Astyanax mexicanus: one gene and its partners. The protein of the gene in region 1 binds, or shares a complex with, the protein of each later gene. Links are inferred from orthologs where the notes say so. Each region holds a gene or a part of one and is shown on either strand. Other genes may lie near its edges. The genes, in order: eif4a1a, kank1a and pdcd4b.

The links.
Region 2: the proteins of eif4a1a (region 1) and kank1a are in contact, whole or in part, in a crystal structure (PDB 7DDX), measured with the Mus musculus proteins. The link is inferred for Astyanax mexicanus from reciprocal best matches to the Homo sapiens genes EIF4A1 and KANK1. Residues at the interface, in NP_659207.1 of Mus musculus: Lys99, Val140, Arg141, Val144, Gln145, Lys146, Leu147, Gln148, Met149, Glu150, Ala151, Arg168, Arg169, Tyr170, Ser172; in NP_852069.4 of Mus musculus: Gly1168, Asn1169, Asn1171, His1175, Tyr1176, Val1178, Asn1201, Lys1202, Ala1203, Tyr1205, Met1209, Leu1210, Leu1213, Ala1214, Ala1215, Gln1240, Ala1241, Leu1248, Ser1251, His1252, Arg1254, Asp1273, Glu1274, His1285.
Region 3: the proteins of eif4a1a (region 1) and pdcd4b are in contact, whole or in part, in a crystal structure (PDB 2ZU6), measured with the Homo sapiens proteins. The link is inferred for Astyanax mexicanus from reciprocal best matches to the Homo sapiens genes EIF4A1 and PDCD4. Residues at the interface, in NP_001407.1 of Homo sapiens: Gln75, Thr109, Arg110, Glu111, Ile135, Gly137, Val140, Thr158, Gly160, Arg161, Asp164, Glu186, Leu188, Ser189, Arg190, Gly191, Phe192, Gln195, Ala214, Thr215, Met216, Pro217, Glu240, Leu241, Thr242, Asn280, Thr281, Arg282, Arg283, Thr329; in NP_055271.2 of Homo sapiens: Pro170, Gln173, Glu174, Glu177, His178, Glu183, Glu186, Met187, Asp190, Leu209, Glu210, Lys212, Glu249, Leu250, Leu252, Asp253, Thr254, Pro255, Arg256, Gly320, Gln321, Gln322, Ser323, Val324, Leu327, Glu348, Lys352, Glu355, Val356, Pro357.

The regions. Positions count from the first base shown.
Region 1 is NC_064415.1:26,207,160-26,214,727, reverse strand, and holds the start of eif4a1a (eukaryotic translation initiation factor 4A1A), read left to right. Parts: upstream 1-4,480; 5' UTR 4,481-4,550; coding exon 4,551-4,573; intron 4,574-6,321; coding exon 6,322-6,370; intron 6,371-6,478; coding exon 6,479-6,611; intron 6,612-6,968; coding exon 6,969-7,108; intron 7,109-7,527; coding exon 7,528-7,568. Other genes in the region: senp3b (sentrin-specific protease 3b), read left to right, coding at 465-612, 700-747, 895-972, 1,193-1,330, 1,455-1,538, 2,483-2,533, 2,794-2,904. UniProt on the Homo sapiens protein: ATP-dependent RNA helicase which is a subunit of the eIF4F complex involved in cap recognition and is required for mRNA binding to ribosome.
Region 2 is NC_064429.1:18,694,518-18,701,663, reverse strand, and holds the start of kank1a (KN motif and ankyrin repeat domain-containing protein 1a), read left to right. Parts: upstream 1-4,097; 5' UTR 4,098-4,348; intron 4,349-7,146.
Region 3 is NC_064430.1:22,176,217-22,183,738, forward strand, and holds the start of pdcd4b (programmed cell death protein 4b), read left to right. Parts: upstream 1-4,440; 5' UTR 4,441-4,545; intron 4,546-6,057; 5' UTR 6,058-6,114; coding exon 6,115-6,157; intron 6,158-6,608; coding exon 6,609-6,911; intron 6,912-7,522. UniProt on the Homo sapiens protein: Inhibits translation initiation and cap-dependent translation. May excert its function by hindering the interaction between EIF4A1 and EIF4G. Inhibits the helicase activity of EIF4A. Modulates the activation of JUN kinase.

The DNA of each region.
Region 1 (7,568 bases):
GGGCTGTACTGAAGTAGTGACTGAGTGAAGAGAGCGGGGCTTGTGCTGCTGCTGCTAGTGGTTGGATGAAGAACTGCAGCTTCATGTAATGAGCAGTTTCACCAGCCATCCACACACAGCTCTGATAAACTGCTTGTTTTAATAGTGCACACTGTTGCTACCAAAAAAAGTCACTAGATGGCATTACCATATATATCTTAATAAATAATAATAATAATATTTATAATATTTATAATAATAATAATAATAATAAATATATTATTTAAATTTTATGAGGCATAAAATAATAACAAGAAAAAAAAACAAGAAAATCGAGAATCGAATCGAATCGTGACCCTCAAATCGAAAATGAAATCGAATCGAGGATTTAGAGAATCGTGACACCCCTAGTGAACATACACATACACATACACACATACTACACATACATCTTTTACAAAATTTGTTTCAATTGGATTTATTAGGAAGGCAGAGGTGCAACAGATAATCCAGTCCTACCAGCGCTCCCCGGGTACAAGCATGGTGCGAGGGTTCAGTGTGAACTACAAGCGCCATGTCCTGACCATGGATGATCTCAGCACCCTTTATGGGCAGAACTGGCTTAATGACCAGGTAAAGAATGGAAAGTTGTAATTAGGATAGTTAAGTGTAACTCTTATAGTTAATTATTTATTTTCCCTGTTGATCTGTTTATTTCAGGTTATGAACATGTATGGGGACCTTGTAATGGATACAGTTCCTGACAAGGTGAATATGACACTTACATTCTTTGTGGACAAAATACACAAAAACAATATCTTGTGAAAGTAAGCTGTCATTGTATATGATATGATTTAGGTCATTTAATGGGCTGAATGCATATAAAATAAATATTTTTTAATCCATGTTTTCTAGGTTCATTTCTTCAACAGTTTCTTCTATGACAAGCTCAGAACTAAAGGTTATGATGGGGTTAAGCGGTGGACAAAAAATGTAAGATTTTTCCTCTGATTTAAAAGAGATTATTTTTTTTACTGATCCAGTCATTTTTTTTTCATGGTTCTTCATTTGAGACTACACAAAGAAACAGAATGGAATGGAAGTCTTATGCCTTTAGAGCCTTTTGTTGTTTTCGATAATACCAATGGAAGTCTTATACTTGTGTGTATTTGTGTGCGTAATACATTTGGTTTTCTTTACACACTGATTTCAGGTTGATATCTTCAGCAAGGATCTACTCTTGATTCCTATTCATCTGGAAGTGCATTGGTCACTAGTGTCTGTGGACATTAAGCAACGGTTCATCACCTACTTTGATTCCCAGCGAACTCTTAACCGTCGCTGTCCCAAGGTCAGCACCTCTTGTGTGCTTATTTGTTTTCTAATTAGCTTTTGTTAATTTTTTCCCAGCGTAAACTTGCAGGCATGCTTCTAACCAGCTTCTAACCAGTTCTCTTTCCTTATTCTTCTTGTAGCATATTTTTAAGTACCTCCAGGCAGAAGCTATCATAAAACAACAGAGAGATTTTCTCACAGGGTGGAGAGGCTTTTTCAAAATGGTAAGTTATTCAACACCTGACTAATGACCACAAAGTGTTTCTTAAGAAATGTATGGGTCACTGTACATGTTTCTTTGTATGTATTTGTCTCTTATTTTTATAAAGATCAAAATTACATTAGATTTAAAGGGATTCACCGGTATTAACAATTTCAGATATACAGACCTAAAACAGTAAAGATCCCAGGTTGTGTCTATATAGACCATTCCTCCCATACTGGCTTTAAATAAACAGTCAGTCAGTCAGTCTGCAACGAAACTGTTGTATCACCTCTTTGTGATTTTGTTGCTCATTGTAAGCCAGCGTGCTAATCGCTCAGATATGTCTTAAGCTGAAAAGAGCTGCCACACAAATTGCCCAGTGCCGCAACCGAGACAGTTATATATACAGTTTTATGATAAAAAAACAATAATGTTCCATAAGGTATTGTAGTGAATATGCATTTATCTGGCCTTTGCTCACTTTTGTAATTTATTGTTTGTGGTAATCAAGTTAGCTAGCATGTTTTGCATTTTGTTTCAGTAATTGGGTGAATGTTCACCATGCAATATTATTATTTTAATAATTTTACAATTACTGATTTCCCACCTAAATAGAGACTTTTTGTATAGCCAAGCTTCTAGTTTAGCCCCAGCTCACTTCTATTTCACATGACAATGTGAAACATGAATGTGTATTATGACTTTGACCTGCATTGGTTACGTTTTGCTCATCTTGTTTGTTTGTTTTTTATTTGATTGTGCAGTGCTGGCTGATATATAGCCTCAAGTATTGAAAAACTAGACCTGGATTTCTCGCCAAATTTTTTTCTCTCCAACTTTTCAGTTTTCAGTGTTGTTAGAAATTTAGATATTGGGTTTGTAAACTGCTTACATTAGTTATTAGTATATGATGGTTTATGTTCTGAGTTTGCTGTGTTAACAGAGGTCATATCTGTGTTTTAGAATGTAGGCCGACAGAATAATGACAGTGACTGTGGGGCATTCGTTCTTCAGGTAAGTAAAAAAACTAAATCACCATGCCACTTTCTACCATTTGGAAAGGTATGATTTTACTTAATTCATTTATTTTTATTTTTTTCTGAACAAATTTATTTAAAATAGAGTTCCAGTGTATTAAAGAATTGAATTTCATCAACTATATCTAAGATATGTAGAAATATATATATTATACTTTGGTTTCTGTTTTGTACCTGATCTTTTTTCCCCAAATATTTGTCCACTTGGTCTGAGTCTCTTACTCTGTTTTGTTCTAGTACTGCAAGTGTCTGGCATTGGGACAGCTCTTTAGCTTCAGTCAGCAGGACATGCCTAAACTGAGGAGATTAATGTACAAAGAGCTTTGCCACTGCAAGCTCTCACTGTGATACTTATGTCAAAGCAATGCAGCCAGAGGAGGAAGAACAAAACATCTGGAAACTTCCATCTGTGTAAAAAAAAAAAAAAAAAAAACAGGACATTGCTGGACACTGCATTATCAAACCCACTTGTTTGTTTTTGTTTTGTATCAGTGTTACTTTCTTGTGCTTGTGGTGGCCAATGTCTTTTCTAATGGCTGCTTTGTTGAAATGTGGCATTTTAATGGGAGCCATTTTGGACTCTTGCAAGAGGCTTCCAAAGTGTTTTCTATGATTTTGCCTCCGTCTGTAAAGGTGTTACAAATCTTTTTTTTAATTGTGGGGAAGTGTCATGTTACTCAGATGTGCAAGCATAATCATATTTCACTTTTATTTTTCAATAAATCATGCCTTATGAAAATGAATGAGTGAGTGTGGTTAAATAACTGTTGGCAACAAGTATATTTTGTACATTGGAATGTAATAATAATATGCTTAATAATAATACACTATATACATAATACATAATATCATTGCCAGGTTTGATAATGGATATTTTGAGTTTATTTTTAGATTTTGGCAACACGGTGCAATGTATTGCATTTTTTTTTCTCTTGTATTAGGTTCTGGTTGTAATGTAATTATTTACATTGCCAAAAGCAGAAAAAATGTCATATCAGATTGTCAGTCTTTCTTTGAAAAAAAAAAATGATTACACTAGATTATATTAGATTAGATTATACCACAGTTTTTGGCTATTTCAACCACATATTTTGTGTAGTTCCAGTGTAGCAACACATACCATTTACAATGAACTGTAGAGTAACTGGTCAGGTTGAATGTACTTTATAATCTTAGTTCCGATGATTGTATGAAAAGTTGGTTCTTTTCAGTAGCCTGCAAAAATCTTGTATCCCAAAAATGTTAGGAGAGGTTACTTGAGAAAAAAAACCCTTATTAGTTTTATTTCAGTGGTAGAAAAATGTGAAGTAAAGTGGTAAAAGATTTCTTGGGGAAAACAAAGTGACATTAACTTAATTAAACTGAAAACTTCTGCTTTCAAACTGTCAAAAAAGTAAAGAATCATTTTTTCTGTGACTTATTTGTGTATATATATTTTTTGTATTATTTTTCATTATTTTTATCCTCCTTGAAGAGCTCTTGACCAGCAAAGGGTATGATAACCAGCTGGTCCTAAGCTAAATTGTTTTAGCAGGGTAGTTGATCAGTGTAATGTGAATAAAAAAGAGACTGAACATTTTAACAGCAAATTAGGGTATGAGAGTAATAAAAGAAATACATTTAAAAGTTTTTTAAAGAAATAAAGTATATTTGTCTGAATATTTACATTTGTCTACATAGGACATTTGTCTACATATGAGGAAATTCACAGTAAAATACTTCTTATATGGATAGACCAATCTACGCAGTCATATTTTCTATTCTAAAAGCTGATGTACAAAGAAACTGATTTAGAGAACAGACTGTGCCTTGACGTCAAGCCTGGGGCGGGCTGTGCCAGGGCGACGTGACGAATTTAACGTTTTAACCTATGAGGTGTCACGTTGGAAAGCCTTGGTTTTGATTGACGAGACTCTCCTCCAATCACAATTGTTCAGGCCTCGGTGCCTTGGCGTATTTAACACATTTCCGCCGTTGTGCTGTTCTTTGTGATAATGTCGGCTGAACATGAGGATAGGTAAGTGAGGGCTGGGAGAGTAGCGTGGGTGCTAATTTACCCTAATATAAATTTCTATATATATTTATATATTTAAACACGTTATTTGACTCGTTAGATATCTACATTTGGGCAGCGGTGGAGCGAGTTGACCTGGATGAGTGTTAAATTTAGATTAACCGGACTGTGAAGCGAATAAACGGCGGGGCACGGCAGAACGCTGGTTTAAGCTAGCTTAGGTAGATAAAAATGCGAGAATTGTTAGTATTAATGTCGGTAAATGCGTGTATTGTGTTTATTTAGGTCGGATTAGTTCTGTATCGATGTTAATTTGGTGTTTTAGCCCGTTTTCTATCCTTATGTTAAAACGTGCCGGCTCCTGTAACACAACGTGACCTGACCGGTTAGCTCGGTAGCTTAGCTTAGTTTAGCTGAGCGTGTCAGTTAGGTTAGCGGTGGCGGCCTGGGTGCCGGTGTTTTGTCGAATTGGTCTACCCGTTGATATGTGCTTTTTACGACCAGTGCGCATGCGCATTTTAAAGTTTATATAGTTATGATATGACCATGGAAAATACAAAAAAGTGGTTCTAATCACCCATTGTCATTTAACAGAACCCTAAAATATAGAATTTAGACTTTCCAAAATTCATACCGAGACTTTTTTTTTTAGCGAGCAACTTTTTAAATGTGCTTTTTTTTTTCTGGTATTTTTTTATGTTTAAATACACACTTTGGTAGCACGATTTGGTAAGGTAGCACATTTCGACAGAACACCGGCTCGTGGGCCGCACATGGCGCTTCTTCCTCCCTTTCTCTGTTCAGCGCTGTTTTCACTCAACATGTTTAGTACTGTTTTACGCTTTAGTTATTTCGATCTAAACATTTAAAATAAACCGGATTGTAGGGCTTTAGCGCCATAATACACGATTTCTGTGTGTGTTTGAACTAATTTCGATGAGAAGACCGGAGCACATGGCCTGCCGGTTTGGACAATGGAGAATTCCGCTATATGGGATGAGCAGGCCGGAGTCTAGTTTAGCTACAAGCTAAGCCAGGTTTATCGCTCCAGTCACTTCGGATTTGAAGAAATTTGAGATTAATAGTAGCCAGATTAGCTCACTCTTGATCTCTAAACTAGATTATTATAGTTAGATAACCCAGATTATATTGCTCATTCGTCTCTAGCGAGCTGCGTTTCGCAGGTTAGCTATTCGCTGCAGTCAGCTAACGCCTAGCTAGTTAACAAGCTAAAGCTAACATGCTTTACAAAGATCTATGCTTAGCTAAAAAAATCTGAAGTATTCGTAGTCTAAAGTCATGTAAAACAATAGTAGTGCGTGTTGTCTCTTCAGTGTTCCTCTTTAAATGTTATATTAACCCGATTGCCTGTGTAAAATCTTAATGTAGCTCTGTAGCCTAGCTCCTCGTTAGCTAGCTAAGCTAAACTCGTGTGAAACGTGAGGGCAAAGATGGCGCCCTCCAAAGCCTTTTTCACAGAAAACTGCGACGTGTCTGGCGGTGTCCGCTCCCCCTCCATCTTAGCTAAATCTTCTATCCACGTCCTTCTCATTTGATTAACTTTTCTGTTTTAAACCAACGATTACCTTTGTTAAATTCGGTCTTATTTATTGAGGCAGGTGAAAAGTGACTATGAAAATTGGAGCTTTAATTTGAAATCCAAAATCTCAATGTGTCTGAAAGATCAAATTACTCTACTTTCTTCCAATACATGACATTGCATTAATTCTGGTTTGTTCTCCTCCTTTTAGACCTAGAGACAATGGCCCCGAGGGCATGGAGCCAGATGGAGTCATTGAGGTGTGTTGAATATCTTTTTCAATCATCCATCTGTCTAATTACCTGTAATTGTGTTTCTGAAAAGTTCGTTGTTACAGGTTGACTAAAGTACTTCTGCTTATTCCACAGGGCAACTGGAAGGAAGTCGTCGATAGTTTCGATGACATGAACCTCCGTGAGAATCTTCTCAGAGGAATCTATGCCTATGGTTTTGAGAAACCTTCTGCTATTCAGCAGAGGGCTATTCTCCCTTGTATCAAGGGTACGTAGACAATATTTCTGTGTAGAATAGTCAACCTTTTATATACGTATGGTCGATTCACACATGAGTCACCATGTGCTCTTGTGAGTTAAATGCACCAATACTTTTTTTACTGTTGTGCCTCCCTTATCATCTGGGCAAGGAAGTGCCTGCTAGTGGCAGATTCCTATATCTGTTAGGGGAAGATCAAACACAGCCCATATTCATCCCAGTCTACTCACCACTATGAGCAAAAGACTGTTTCATGGTATGGGTACAGATTGCAAGCTGTTCCTACAGTAGATTTCTGCTGATGGAAAGCCTCTCTTTATTTTGCCAGTCTTGGCCTGTCTTAAATTTTGACTTTTATTTTGACAGGATACGATGTCATTGCACAGGCTCAGTCTGGCACAGGGAAGACTGCCACCTTTGCCATTTCCATCCTGCAGCAGATTGACATTGAGATGAAAGCAACACAGGCCATGGTCCTGGCCCCCACCAGAGAACTTGCCCAACAAGTAAGATCCAGTTACATGCGTGAGTAGTTCTGTTCTGTTGTGAGGTGACGCAAATGTTTTAGAATGACCCTTGTCATCTGGGCAAGGCAGTGGTCTGTCAGTGGCACCTAGTCCTATATCTGATAGGGGAAAATTGAAATTACCCATTCATCCCAGTCTACTCAGTACAGTGAGATAAAGACTGTTTCATGCTATGGGTACATATTCAACATGACTCACCGCTATGTTACTCATCATTTACCACCAGTTGTGAGTCATTGAGTTCTTAAGCTGTGAGGTGGGTTACAGCATTACTTGGTTTGCTGACTAAATGGAATTTTTTTTTTTTTTTTCTGTAAACACCAGTTAGGTTCAGATTTGCCTGGCCCTTGTAGATTTCTTTTTTTGACATACCTTTGCTGGTGTCTGTTCATGTTTAGATCCAGAAGGTAGTCCTTGCTCTTGGAGACTACATGGGCGC
Region 2 (7,146 bases), on another chromosome or scaffold:
AAATTAAAAGGTTGTAGAGATGGTTATGCCTAGACACTGATACCCCCCCACACCCCCCCACCACAACATCCTAACCATAGAATGCCTGTGTGTTCAAGAAATATGGTCATGGCAACCTAAGGCCTTTTCAGAATAGGTTAAATCACATGTGTCAAACACAAGGCCCGCGGGCCAAATGTGGCCCGCCACGTCCTTTTATGTGGCCCGCGAGAGCTTGTAAGATCTTAGTGTCTATAATAAATGGATCAGAAGCGTGCTTTGACCAAAAACTACGTTTCCCACAATGCTTGTCGATTGTATTACCCGCGAAGTTACGGCTTACTGCCACTACACGGCAGTGTAGTCATTGATGTGGAAACCCTGCCGGAGGGAAGGCGTAAGGCGGGTGAAATGTTTATCCCATAATGTCCAGAAAAAGAGAAGCTGATTCAGACGGACGGCTGTGCTTCAAGGCGAAAGACCGGTATGCCTTTTGTGTTACGAAGAGTGTTACTGACCAAAATAAACGCTTTTTAGAAGAGATATAAGTTATGTGTAAATATTTATAAGACAATAGCTGACAAAATCTGTTTTAATGATTTTAATAAACATCACTGTGTCAGCGCTATTCAGTTTCACCGCAGCGAAGGACGAAGACGTGAATCACTTATCTAACCAGCCTGTACTGATTTCTGCTCCAATAACCCTTTCAATAACCTCCAATAGCCTTTTATAGTCTTCAGTAGCCTTCAACAGTCTAACCCTGCAGCCGTGGTGTGTGCACTAAACTCCGTAGTTATAAACATTCTGAGGTTAGCAGCGCGCTAACTGACCTGTTTATAATGTAACGTTAATCCGAGCAGTGACTCCGTGACGCTGCTCTGAACTGCTGCTGTTAGCTGCTTGTGCTGAAAGATGAGCTGTAGAGAGCTGTATTATCCGGTTAGTGGGGTTAAAACCTTTATTTCCTACACAGAAGAACTTAAAATGTTTTAAAAACGCTCCAGACTGGCTCAGCTGAGCCTGTAGCCCGTGGCTGGGCTGTAGCTCTGACTCAGTGAAGACAGCGGGGGCTTGTGCTGCTGCTGCAGCTCCCACTAGTGGTTGGATGAGGAACTGCTAAATCTGAGGAAATGCTAAATCTATCACATGTTCTTAACAGCTCACAATTTTTGATTTTATATTTATTAAGCCTTATTTCAGTATCAAACGTTTTGATCAAAGTTAATATAACTTGTATTTTATGTCATTTCTATTCACTTGAATAGTTTGGTTCTTGATTGATGGAGTTTTTGGATTTCATAACATGACAAATTAAAAGGATTTATGTTAATAGAGCAACAAGCAAACATTTTTTCCATTTAGAGTTATTTAACATTAAAGAGTAATTACATTCATTTTATATTACATTTGGTTACATTTTATTACATTTATAAGTTACATCTGGCCCTCAGAGGACAGCCAATATGCCAATGTGGCCCTCGGCCAAAATGAGTTTGACACCCCTGGGTTAAATGATTACAGAGGCAAAGAGGGGTATACTCCCTATGAATACCCTCAGTAAACCTTTAGACATACAGCTTGTTTAAAATAACTAATAGAGTGTTCAGTGAAAACTATAGAAAGCTATAGATTATGAATATTAATGACTTTAAAATCAATAAGAGATTGAGCAGACAAGCAGTCTGTGTTATCATACACACTGTCTTAACCTTGAGGATTATAAAGGTTCACCTTCAGGTCTACTGCTCTTAAGATAAGCCTCATTAAGCCCTTATGTGGACCACACACACACACACACACACAGAAAGTTATTTTCATCCAACCTGCTATCAGGTTTAGTCAATATAGAAACAAGATATAAATGTATGTATCATTTAAGATGACTAATGATTATCACGTAATGTAAAGAAATACAGGAAGGTCGTTGCTTAACTTTCCAAAGTAGGCCTTCAGCCAGGCTGTACTGCATTTACCCTAAGGTACAGTAACAAGCTGCTAGATAAGCTGCACATATTTAAAGCCATTTCATTCTGAATAGCTGGATGTTTCCCAAGGTATATATGTTGTTACTGATGGAAACTTTTATAAAGCGCCATTATTTTTGGTACCAGTGTGTTAAATGTAGCATAACATTAAGGTGACACTGAGTTCTAAAACACAGCTAATGTTTAACTTGCTGTAACATCTTGAACAAGTGAGCTCTTTGGCCCAAAAAGCACTTCAATGTCACCGGATTGAGCTTGATTATTAGCTTTGCTTACACACACACAAATAAATTCAGTATTCCTTACAAGTTTAGGAATAAACTGTTCTACACACTTTCAAAAAGGTCCCAAAAGAAAAAAAGTAAAAAAAAATCTAAATATCACATCTTTGTGTGGTTAAATCGTTGTCAGTTATGATGGAAACATCTAACACCAAAATGCACAACATAACACAAAAGCGGGAGAAAAGCATTGAGCAAGGGGTGCTTTATGTGTGTATTTTGACTGGTAACGTATATATACACTGATCCATAACCATAGCCATAACATTAGTACCACCAGTGCATAATATTGAGTGGGTCTCCCTTGTTGCCACCACAACAGATCTGGCCAAATCTGAAATAAGACCTCTCAGAGTGTCTTGTGGTATCTGGCACCAAGAGGTTAACAGCATTTTCTGTCACAAGTCCAGTAAGCTGTGAGGTCGTTCTCCCTAAATTCCTTCAAAGAGCCTTAGGTCCCTATGACCTCATCTTGGACCACTTTTGCTTGGTACTGATCACTGTATATTGGGAAAAGACCGAAGGCCTAAGCCTGATGTTTTAGAGATGATCTGACTAGTGTAATATAATAACAAAATCGAAGTCCTTTTTTTTAAATCCCGCTTTTCTCCCCAATTAAGCTATGTCAATCATCCCACCCGCTCAGCTTCTAAGCTCTACTCTACCCAGGGGCGTAGCAGCAAATTCTGGGCCCTGTACACCCTCTATGTTAATGGGCCCCTATCCATGCCAGTAAACAAAGGAAAGTGAGCGAAAAAAAAATCAGGATTTTCATGGGCCCCTCTCCCTACTCGGGCCCTGGGTAGTCAGGTCCACTTTTCCCCCCACTACCACGCCCATGACTCTACCTATCACTATTAATGCTCCAACACCATGAGGGTGAAGACTAGCACATGCCTCCTCCGATACCTGGGAAGTCAGCCACCACTTTTTCAACGAGCTTGACTTGGCTCTTGGTTTATTTTATTTGAATGCCAGGACGAGAAAAAAAAAGACTTACTTAAACCTTCAATCCTAACCACCTTACACTGAACGATCAAGATGACTCGTGAAATAGTGACGTGAACAATGTCAACAATCAAAAGTAGAGGTACGGGAAGCCAGAATAGGCAAGAATATTTTACGTGACAAACGATCTAAAAAAAAAAACTTCGACTTTTCGCACTTTATATGCCTTATATGGTTTTTACTTTAATATGTACAGTATTTTTAAAAACAGGTAGCACTTTAAAGTCATTATTTAAAACCATTATATTTTGCACTACTTTGATTTAAACATGTAAGTAGATTTTGCAAGAATTATATTTTTTATTGCATTTTTATCTTAAACAAAGGCAAATGAATAGCAGTGAAACTGTGAATCTTTGCTATACAAGGTTGTAACAAAAAAAAGGTGGGAGGGGGAGGCTTATAGGCAGAGTTGAACATAAAATGTGATCCATTAAAAAATATCAAGAACTAACAGTGTGGCAGAAAAATAAAGTGTTGATATGGACAAAAAAGTTGTGAGTCTCTAATAAATCACAGTATTGATAGACAATTTGCAATTTAATATGCAATATGTATTGTATGTAAACTCCACAAGAAGCATGATGGGAAATAATCTCAAAAAGAATCTTGCAGTCAGTGATCCCCGTTTTTTGCAAAATCTTAGCCTGTGAGAAAAAAGTCTGTGAGTAAAAAGTCTGTGACTTGTCTTTAGACGTGAGAGGGTGTCAGACTTTAGTCTGTTCAAAGTATTTTCAGTTTTTTTTTTTTAAAGTAGTATAGTGTATGGGCAGCATAAGCTGCACTATCAATGCCACCGTGCGCATGCGCAGATGTGGGGGCGCTTCGCCGCGGTGAGTACAGGAGCTGAAGTGCAGGAACAGGAGGCACTGCAGCTGAACAGAGGGCAGAACAGAGAGAGAGAGAGAGGGAGAGAGACATAAACATCCAAATACAGGTTTTAAACGTGGTTGAACACAGTCTCGCGGTAAGGAGAGTCTGGCTGTAGGTCTGTGCAGTGAACACGTGACTAAACACAAACACCTGGTGAGGGAAACCTGCGAAACCCGAGCCTGGAACTTCATGACAGAGCGCTGCGGACCAGCACGAGCGGTGAGTTCTGAGCCACTTCTGTGTGTTTTTTGTGTTTTTAATCGGTTTAAAACGTTTAAAACGGACTCTTCAGACTTGAGGTGTAGAAGTTCAGGAAAGTCCTCAGACCGAGTGTTTCTGCTCGAGTCTGCTGGAGACTGCACCACTCCAGCGTCTTAATTCAGACCATAATTATAAGATATGTAACGTTAATTGTAATGATGAGAAACCCATCAGCACTGAACGTCCTGAGACCTGGTGTTTTCTCGAAGCTTTGAGGTGATATCTGATAGCTGGCCGGCTGGACAATGTTAGGTTACCTGAATTACTGCGTGTTTTCTCTCCACCCTGTTCTCCTTCAGGTTTCTCAGTTCTCTCACACCTGCTCTCCTGTTTGAATTATTTTAGGAGTTTTAAGGGATTTAGGAACCTATGTTTCTTCTCCCCTAAACAGCTTCGGCTCTTTTTATTAGTAAGGAAATAAATAACTGCTGTTTAAAAACAACAAGTGCTGTTTGTGGTGTGTTGAATACAGAGCTGCATATACAGCTGTGGAAAAAATAAGAGACCACCTAAAATTCATTAGAGTTTCTTTGATTTTACCAAATTTAAAAACCTCTGGAATATAATCAAGAGCAAAATGGATGATCACGAGCCATCAAATCATGCTTATTTGCTTGAATTTGTGGCATAAAGTTATCCAAAAGCAGTGTGTAAGACTGCTGCAGGAGAACATGCCAAGATGCATGAAACCTGTGATTAAAAGCTAGGGTTATTCCACCAAATATTGATTTCTGAACTCTTAAAACTTTATAAATATGAACTTGTTTTCTTTGCATTATTTGACGTCTGAAAGCTCTGCATAATTTTTGTTATTCAGCCATTTCTCATTTTCTGCAAATAGTTATCAGTCGTTTATTGAATAAAACAACAAGGTCCGTTTTACTCAAACATATACCTATAAATAGCAAAATCAGAGAAACTGATTCAGAAACTGAAGTGGTCTCTTATTTTATTTATTTTTTTTACCAGAGCTGTAGACTCTACAGATAAACTGCAATATTGCGATATTAGGTGATATCTAGGTTAAAATATTAGAATCAACATACCAGCTGTTTTCTATTAACATGAATAATGAATTAGGCCATGCCATACATTGGACAATTAGTAATTGACATTATTATTGTGACAGGACTTGAGAATTTGTCATAATATCTGCATACTATGCATGGATATCTGTAGGATATCGTACACAAACACGGCAAAATACCAAACAAATATTACATAATTTTCATTGGCTAAGTATTGGAGTGGATTAACAAAAGTGTAGGATTTACAGACAGTATCACTATTTTCCAATATAAAATGTAGCTAAAAGCTAGCTGTAAAGGTCACATCTCACAAATCTTTGGCATCTAGTGTCTGTTTCAAATGACTTGGCTGATCGAGTGCAATTTATATGTAGTACAAACTGTATTTCTTAGTTTCTAACACCACTTGTAGACTTGGATTTGGACACTTTCTTATCATCAACATGCTTTGCTGAGCAATGTTTAAATCTCCATACAAGCTACTGTACATACAACCTAAACCTACTGTTAGGAAAATATCTGAACATCACAGCATTCAGTTACTACTAACCATAACTTGCTATAATGAGTGGAACATCATTGTCTGCAAATCTCAGGCTCATTGTGGCATTATACTGCATGCTTGAATATCTGTAGATACCCATATCAATCAGATACCATCTTTGTCCCTCCTTTCTCTTTTTAGTAATACATTTGTTTGAAAGCACTTAACTTAATATGGTCATCTAAATAATGTCACCCTCAAATTGTGACACAAATATTCAAAGTCTCCAAAGAAACAAACAGATACATTATGGCAGGTCTATGGCACCGCTAAAGTTAGGTGCATTTATCATGTTTTTAAATTAAACTGAACCTGAGTTATGAAGCCAAAAGAATACTGGCACGTAGGCTTGAACACACGTAGGCTCTGGTCCTAGGGAAACATTTACGTAACAGTGTGGGCTAAATGGATCATATCACATACACATTGACTAAATCTAGCAATCTAGACACAAGTGAGTTTAATCAGATGTTCTTGAAAGGTGATATCAGCAGACTGTGCTGGACACAGGCCCTCAAGGACCAGAACTGAAGAACCTCCTCTCTGCAAAAATGTCTTACAAACAAACGATGCTTGTTTTCACTGAGATATTTTGTTCCGTTTTCCTTTTATGAAATGACCCCAAATGAGATCTTGCACAATATTCATAATTGGTGTTATTCCGAGCTTTTGTTGGATTCTTTTTTCCTCTTTTAAAAACTAGATAACAAAAACATGGACAAAGCTGTTTTTATTTAAATATGGCTTCACATATGTTGTTTTTTCACATTATTTAAAAATTTCATGATAAATAGACCAATAGAAACTCTCTAAAACCTGTTGACTTATCTGTGACTTTCGTTCTAAATTAACATTTTTTTTTTTTTTTACTTCTTCGTTGAATTCATGTTTTTATGATACAATTTTTTTTGGCATAACTGCTACAGTATACTATACTATTCATATTAATACAGTGGTAAAACATTGCTAAAGCAACATAACACTAGAGCTATTTTATATTTGATATAGTATTGTGATGCATATTATTAGCCATCGACAATAAAGTTTAAGGTTATTATTAAGGATATCATCAGTTAAGATCAATGACCCATTCCATTACCCAGAGTGTAAAAAAAAAAAACCTGCTTAACTACATGTCACATGATGTCACAGAAATGATTAAACTCACTGTACTATTCATAAAA
Region 3 (7,522 bases), on another chromosome or scaffold:
ACAATAATAAGCACTTACCAAATGTGCTCAGCTAAGAAAAACATAGTGCATCCAACAAGAACTAAATAACTAAAGTACTGATCTATTTTACTGTGCAACTTCTATATTCAGATTCACCAGCATGCCTTCAGAAAAGACCTTTAACTAATAAAATATGTCTCTATTGCCTTTTGTAGCTTTTGTTCTGCTGGATTCACAGGAATGTGAATTTAAGTTTGGTTATTTTTTAATGTGATGTACACTGGACGTTCTCAGAAACTGGATAAAGACGCAATTTTTCTGATTATGAAGTGCCTTTTATACAATCTGTATATTTTTTGCTCAGGTGAGGAGAAATAAACTCAGTAAAGTCAAGATAATATTTCCCATGTTTTTACAGAGCTGCTTTTTAAATGTGCAACTTTTATAAAGAAACAAGAATCATCAGTTCTGCATAAATCTGTCCATCAGACAGACCAGGCCTTAAATTAATATCTGGAAAAGCGTGTTTATTAATCTATGCTGTGTATAACGCTCAGACAGTAGCAAAACTTGAACTGGACCATGTGAGTTATTTATGATATTTAAAATGAACTCCTGTAAAAACAAATGTGAAGTGTGTGTTATTGCAGTAGATTACAGCAGCAGAATGTGTTTTTTTGTATATTAATAATAATATCGCTGTCCCACTTTTGAGATCTGTGAAGTTTCTTTAAATATTTTGTGGGATGTTTTAATGCAAATATTTCAATAAACAGTTTTGAGAAACCTGAGCTTTTTTCTGTTTCAGTGTGTGAAAAAAGACAAATACAACCATATTAATGATATTTAAATTGTTGAAGAAAAGTTGATTTGAATAAGGTCTATACACAATATTGTATGTACAAACATCATTAATATTTGGGGTAATGTCTTAATGTTTTAATAATAATTATAAACACCACAGGATGCAGCAGCATCAAATTAAAATAAAATCTTGAAAATTAAGTTTAAAGAAATGATGCGAAGGCTTTCTGACAGTGGGCAAATGCATAAGTTGATATTGGAAATTGTTATTTTCAACTATTATTGAAATGAGAAATGGCTAAAATTACAAAAAAGATGCAGAGCTTTCAGACCTCAAATAATACAAAGAAAACAAGTTCATATTCATAAAGTTTTAAGAGTCCAGAAATCAATATTTGGTGGAATAATTATTGTACTGTGAATCTTTTTATAATTTATAATATAAACAAAAAAAGTTTGGTTCAGTTGAATCGGTTCATTGATTCATTGGTTCATTGATTCATGAAGGACTCGTTCACAGCAGCGGTTACGTAACGCTGCTCCTCTGTGATGGGCCCTTTTCACATTTCCGGGTTTGGAATGCGGAAGTAAAAAATAGCAGGGTAAACAACGCGTGTAGAACGTATAGACGAAATGGAGCAGCATAGGAAATGCTACTGCAGCGAGCCTTTCTGCTCAAATAGCAAACGCAAACAACCAAACCTGAGTTTCCACGACTTTCCAAATGTCACACGTTTACGCGGTAAATAGATAAGAGCAATTAGGAGAGAGGAAAATGCCACATTTACGGTTCTGCGCGGCAGTACATATGCGTGTAGCCAGCACTTCAGGCCGGATGAGCTATATGTCAAAGCGGGAGGGAACAGAGCCAGGAATCAGTTTCACCACGATTCGCCTGGAATAATTTTGGGAGTCGATATGAAAACCGCCTGACACCCTACGAGAGGGCAAGTACTCGTCTCGGTTTGAACACTGAAGCTGCCATGGGACAGAGAGACGAGGAGGACCTGAAGCTATGCTAACCGAGCCAAGCACGATTACTGCCGTCCACCGTCTCCTGGTGAGTAATTTTACAACTCTTATATCCATTTACACAATAAATACACAAGCCAGCTACCTAAATATCCATTTGAATAATTAATAATTACCTGAGTAATAGTCTCAAGACAGGATACCTACCAAAATAACATTGGAGATACAATATATACTGAATAACCGTATAAACTTACAATTCATAACTGAATAAAGTCTTAATAAGATATAATTATTTGGATTAAGTCTTAATATGCAATATTTACTTGAATAAAGTTTAAACTTACAATTAATACCTGAATAAAGTCTAAATATGCTATACTTATTTAAATAAAGTCTTAATATGCAATACTTACCTGAATAAAGTCTACACCTACAATTCGTACCTGAATAAAGTTTAAAATTGAAATACTTATTTGAAGTCTAACTTGCCTAAATAAAGGCTAAATATTCAATATTTACCTAAATAAAGGGTCAATTTGGCATGTTTACCTGAATTACTGACTTGTGTCCGAGATATCATTTGTTGTTTAAAAACTTTCCAAGCACAAGTATGGTTTATGTATTATACCAAAGAATACCAGTATTTGTTAGCTAAACATAGCACAGTAAAATATACCAGTTTACCTAATTAGTAATTGGTGTACAATATAGGTCAATTCAGAGTTTGACTTAAATTTTGTCAGATTATCTGTCAATATAAAACTAAGCTAATGTATTTTTTCCCCCCTTTTGTTGCAGGCAAAGTGGACGCTGCAGCTGCACGAATAAGGGAGCTGGAGCAAAAAGTGATTGAGCTGGAGAATTAAATAAAACAGCTTGCAGACCAACCTAGGCTTAACCATTTCTGCTCAACTAAAGAAGAGTTCCACTTTTTCCACACAATTTTCCTTGACTCAGTACAAAATTCTGTCTAAATATTTTAGCTTTAACTTACCATGTGAGCTTCATTTGTTTTTTGTATTTTTAGATTTTTTAAATTTGAGTGTTTTATAAATATAATAAATGAAATACATTTTAATCCTCTTGTCCCAGGTGCTTTGTATTTGTTTTATCTGTAGACAAAGTCATAGATGATTTGGTTACGACTGTATTCACTAGGCATACCATTGCAGGAAATACAATATTCTAAATATACAGTTTAAACAATATAGCTAGTTGTCAGAAATTATGCATTTTTTGAAGCACAACCAAAATGTTATGTTTACCCAAAATATCCTGATTTTTAAAGTTAATTAAAATGTAAAATAGTTCCATGACACCCAATACAAATAGATTGATTCAGTAAACAAAATGTCAATGAACTGAAATGTTTTCTTGCTTGTTGCTGGCTCTGCGCTACATAAAAAGACAATTCAAGCAAAGAATACAAGTTTATTTAGAAAATTCCATATTTCCACAAAAAACAAACTATAACAGAACATGCTGCTGGGAGAGAGACTGTTTTAAAGCCCATGGTGCTTTAATGGGCAATCTGATAAAGCAGAGCAATAGTATGATTGGAAAAGGCCTTCCCCGCAACACTTGCACGATGTCTTTATTACCTCCACAGGATCTGGGTGGTATGAAGTCACCTGTAATGCAAAGCACAGACATACTGTCAGCTCTGAGAAACATTTTTTAAACGGTACAAAAAGCACCAAATGTTCATATCTATATTTAAGCCATTCACAATTACTACTACATCTTTAACCTCTTGGCTGACCCTAAACAATCTACCTGAATAAGTTAACCTCCTAAAAACCAAGCAAAAATTTAATATGATGGACAAATTAACACTTGACCTTCACATTCTACATTCTAAGTGGTTGGTATATCTGCTTCACTACAGACGACTAACTTTGGCCACTGGCTTAACCTACCTAGTGGGAAGCTAGCAACACATAGAATCATCTTAGGCTTACCTGAACTGTTTCACCTACGTACAAGATAACTAGGGTTAAATGTGGTTTAATATATTTTTTTTCTCCCTGTCGATTAACTTTCCTAAACCACCTGCACTGTGTTTGAAACTGTATATACAAGGGAAAAACAGTTCTGTCTTCTATCCAACTCAAAGCCTTAAATAAGCACATCAGATCCTGGGCAGTAGCTACAGTAATGGTTAAAACAGAAAAGAAAACATTAACTAAACAGCTACTTAGCATTACTTGACGTACTGTTGTCTATCTAAGTTAGCAAGCTCGCTAGTTAGCGGTAGCTAACCTAACTGAATTGGAAGCCTCGCTAACTTGTATAAAAATAACTACTTACCCTCAAAATTAAAGATGTATTCCTCGACAAAAAGCTTGTAATCCTTTTCAACCTTCGATATTTTCGCTACTGATACCTCATCTATAATCAGTGAGATGTCGGAGAAAGAAATCAATAGAAGTTTGTGCAGAGACAGCAGTGAACTCCATTCTAGCGCCGCTGTGTTTACCCTGCTAAACCAAACCGGAAACACGTCATCAAGCTCTGTGAAAAGGGCCCATTCAGTACCCAGCTCCACCGCCAGGGGGCGGGGCCTGCCCGGACATGTCCTCATAGAAAACACCAGAACGATTTTCTCACGCCGTGTTCTCATTGGTGGATTTGCGGCTCAACCTCCAACAATGCGGCCAATCAGAGGGCTCGCCTCCCAACCTTAAATAACCGGGCCAATCAGAAAGCAGAAGGGAGAGCTGGACGCGGCCGTGTTGCTGGGTAGAGAACAAAGCCGAGACACAGATCTGCGTTATAACTTAAAAAGCGAACAGGCCGGAGACTGTAAGTGATTTATTCCGCTTTTTATTGTTTAATTGCGGGTTTTGTGTGTTTTTATATCTTAAAGTGTGTCTGTAATCGCGCTCGGGTGTTTATTTCTGTGAATAAATGCTTTATTTTGGTGCAGCGGGGGTTTGTTTATGTTGTGGAGGCTGTGGGCTGACCCTTTAACTCAACTGCAGCGTTTATTCAGTTTTATACCATAAATTAACACGATTATACTGAGTTCTCCTGCATTTTCTGACTGTAGTTCAGACTTAAACCCAATTTATTAGGTTCTAATCTTACCTAGTTAGCGCTAAAATAGCTAACGTTACCCTACATTCATTCATATAGAGTTATAACCTACGGTAGATTGACGTTAATGTGAGAGCTAACAGCAGCAGTAAATTAATGAATCCTGTTTTTATAACGTTAATCTAACACTAGCTAGCTGGTCTTTATTTCTATATAACACTGAAATTCCCGCGATAAATGTGTTTTTGCTTTAACCTGGATATTTAATTTAACTGTGCTCTGTTTGGCTTCGTACTGGAATTTCCCTATTCCACCTTAAACAGCCCTGCAGTACCACTGCGCTGCTTAAGGTGGAATGATGGTAATGTTAATCAGAAACCAGCTTTACCTCCCTAACAAACTAAATAAATATTTACCTACCTTAAATATACACTAACTCACTAACTAAAGTGATTGCTATTTGTAATATGTTTATTTCAATTTTAAACTTGCATCAACAGACAAACTAGCAACAAACAAACTCATTTATAAAATATTAAAAAAGAGATATCCACCACATTACTGAAGTTACACACACTTATAAACAATCCCAGTAAAAAGAGAATAAATACAAATCAGACTATCCAAAATATGTAAAATAATCTTATAGAAGATTTATCTGCATACAATCACAATTATTGAAAAATTGAAGATGATCAGTTATCATATTTGGTTAAATAAATCTGTTGATGAATATAATATACAATCAGAAACTCCATAGCTATACACTCTCTATACACAATTTTATCCCAATTTTTAACAGGGGGAACCTCATCACTAATCCTAGACTGTAAGAGATTCTTCTTTGCTGAATAAATCAGAATATTTATATAATCTTATCTTATTTTTATTTTTCAGTGTTATACTTGGAATACCTAAAATTGAATGAAAGACTATTGAGGCCTGTATCAACTCAAATTTTTCAAATAATACCCAAAACTGAAATCAATACTTTTCTATTTTAAAACATGACCAGATACACTGTGTATAGCCCCCTACTATTTGGGCAGTAAGGAGAGAGAGTTTTGGGTCAAACTTATTTTTAACATAAGGTATACTGAAACTGATTTTCCTAGCTTTATCCCAGACCTCATCCCAATCATCAAGTATAACTACTGACAGCTCTTTCTCCCAGCTCTGATCAAGATCATCTGTATTGGTTTCAGAAGTTAAACCTAAAATTAAGCAGAAGCCAAAAATCTGATTATTTACTGATATAAATGCTGTGTAATCTCTCAGGTTGTGTGGTGTTCCTCCTCCTCCTCCTGCTGCTGATTACTCACCCACGCTCAAATAATGGCAACTGACTGTGAGGCCTGGCTCAACTCCAACCCAGTGGGTACGTTGATTTTTGTGTTTAGCTCTTATAGGCTAGTGCAAATCTCTGTCTGTCATAATTTGAGCACACAGACTGTGCCTTACACTGTCAAAATCTCTTGATAAATAGACCAATAGAAAATCTCCAAACTCATCTGGAATAAATAAACTCTCTTTGCATTGAACTCTCCAGCACTTCAGTTACAAATGAACAATTAGTAGTCACTGAGATTTGTACTTTGCAAATTCTAAATTAATCGATAATTTTGATTTATTGAGACTAATAATTGCAGCCATACATCAGTTACTTCCTTCCATTCTCATTCTCTGTGTGTGTGTGACACATGACTTGCTCTCAGCTTAGTCACAAATTCTCTTGCTTTATTTCTGATCCTTCAGGTATTTTTTATGTTATCTGGTGTTAAATCGAGGAGGATGGTTCTTTTAACACACTTCTTCTCTCCTACACACAGAGGAAGTTGCCCTGAGCGACTCTGATCAGTCTGGGAATGAGGAGAACGGCATTCAAACCAAAATTTTTGATGAAATAAACGGGAACTGGATCTTGGCTCCGGCTGGTACCGTCCACGAGGCTCGTCTCAAGGCCAAGGCCAAGCGGCGTCTCCGCAAGAACTCCTCCAGAGACTCGGGCCGGGGAGACTCGCTCAGCGACAACGGGGACGCCGTCAGGTCCGTCGCCCCGCCCACAAGCCCCAAGGGCAGAGTGCTGGACCGCAGGTCCCGACTGGGAAAGGGCCGAGGACTTCCAAAGAAAGGTACCAGAACCTTCACCTCAAAAACCTGCAGTGATTATTAGTTTAACATGATCTGAAGAGCTGTGTTTTTTTTTATGTTTTATAATTTCTTGCTGGCTCTTGTTTGCCTTTTTTTTGTTTCCCTTTTATATTTCAATTAACAGCTTTGTTTTTTTGTTTTACTGTTCCTCTTATTTCTTTTTTTGTCTGTTTCTTTTGAAGTTTAAAGCTCACCTTCTGTTTTTGCTGATTTGATCATGTTTAATTCCAGATTTTAAGGTTTATCCTTTACATCATTCTTTTTAATTATGTACTTAACTAGTCATTTCTTAAGGAAATATAGTTTTTTTTTTTTTTCACTTCAGAGAAAGTGTTATTTACACATTAAACCCTCAGACGCTCCTACAGAGGCTCAGCAGTCTTCTCTGAGGAGTTGTGGGAAGACGGGCTCCACATGCTGCCGGTGCAGCAAAGCAGAAGCTAATTGAACTGAATGCCCTGCAGAACCAGCCTGCAGGCATTTAGACATTAGACCAGCCACACAGATATGACTTGTGTGCATATAAAATATATATATATTAGGGCTGTCCCTAACGATTATTTTTTAAACGATTATTCTAACGATTATTTTT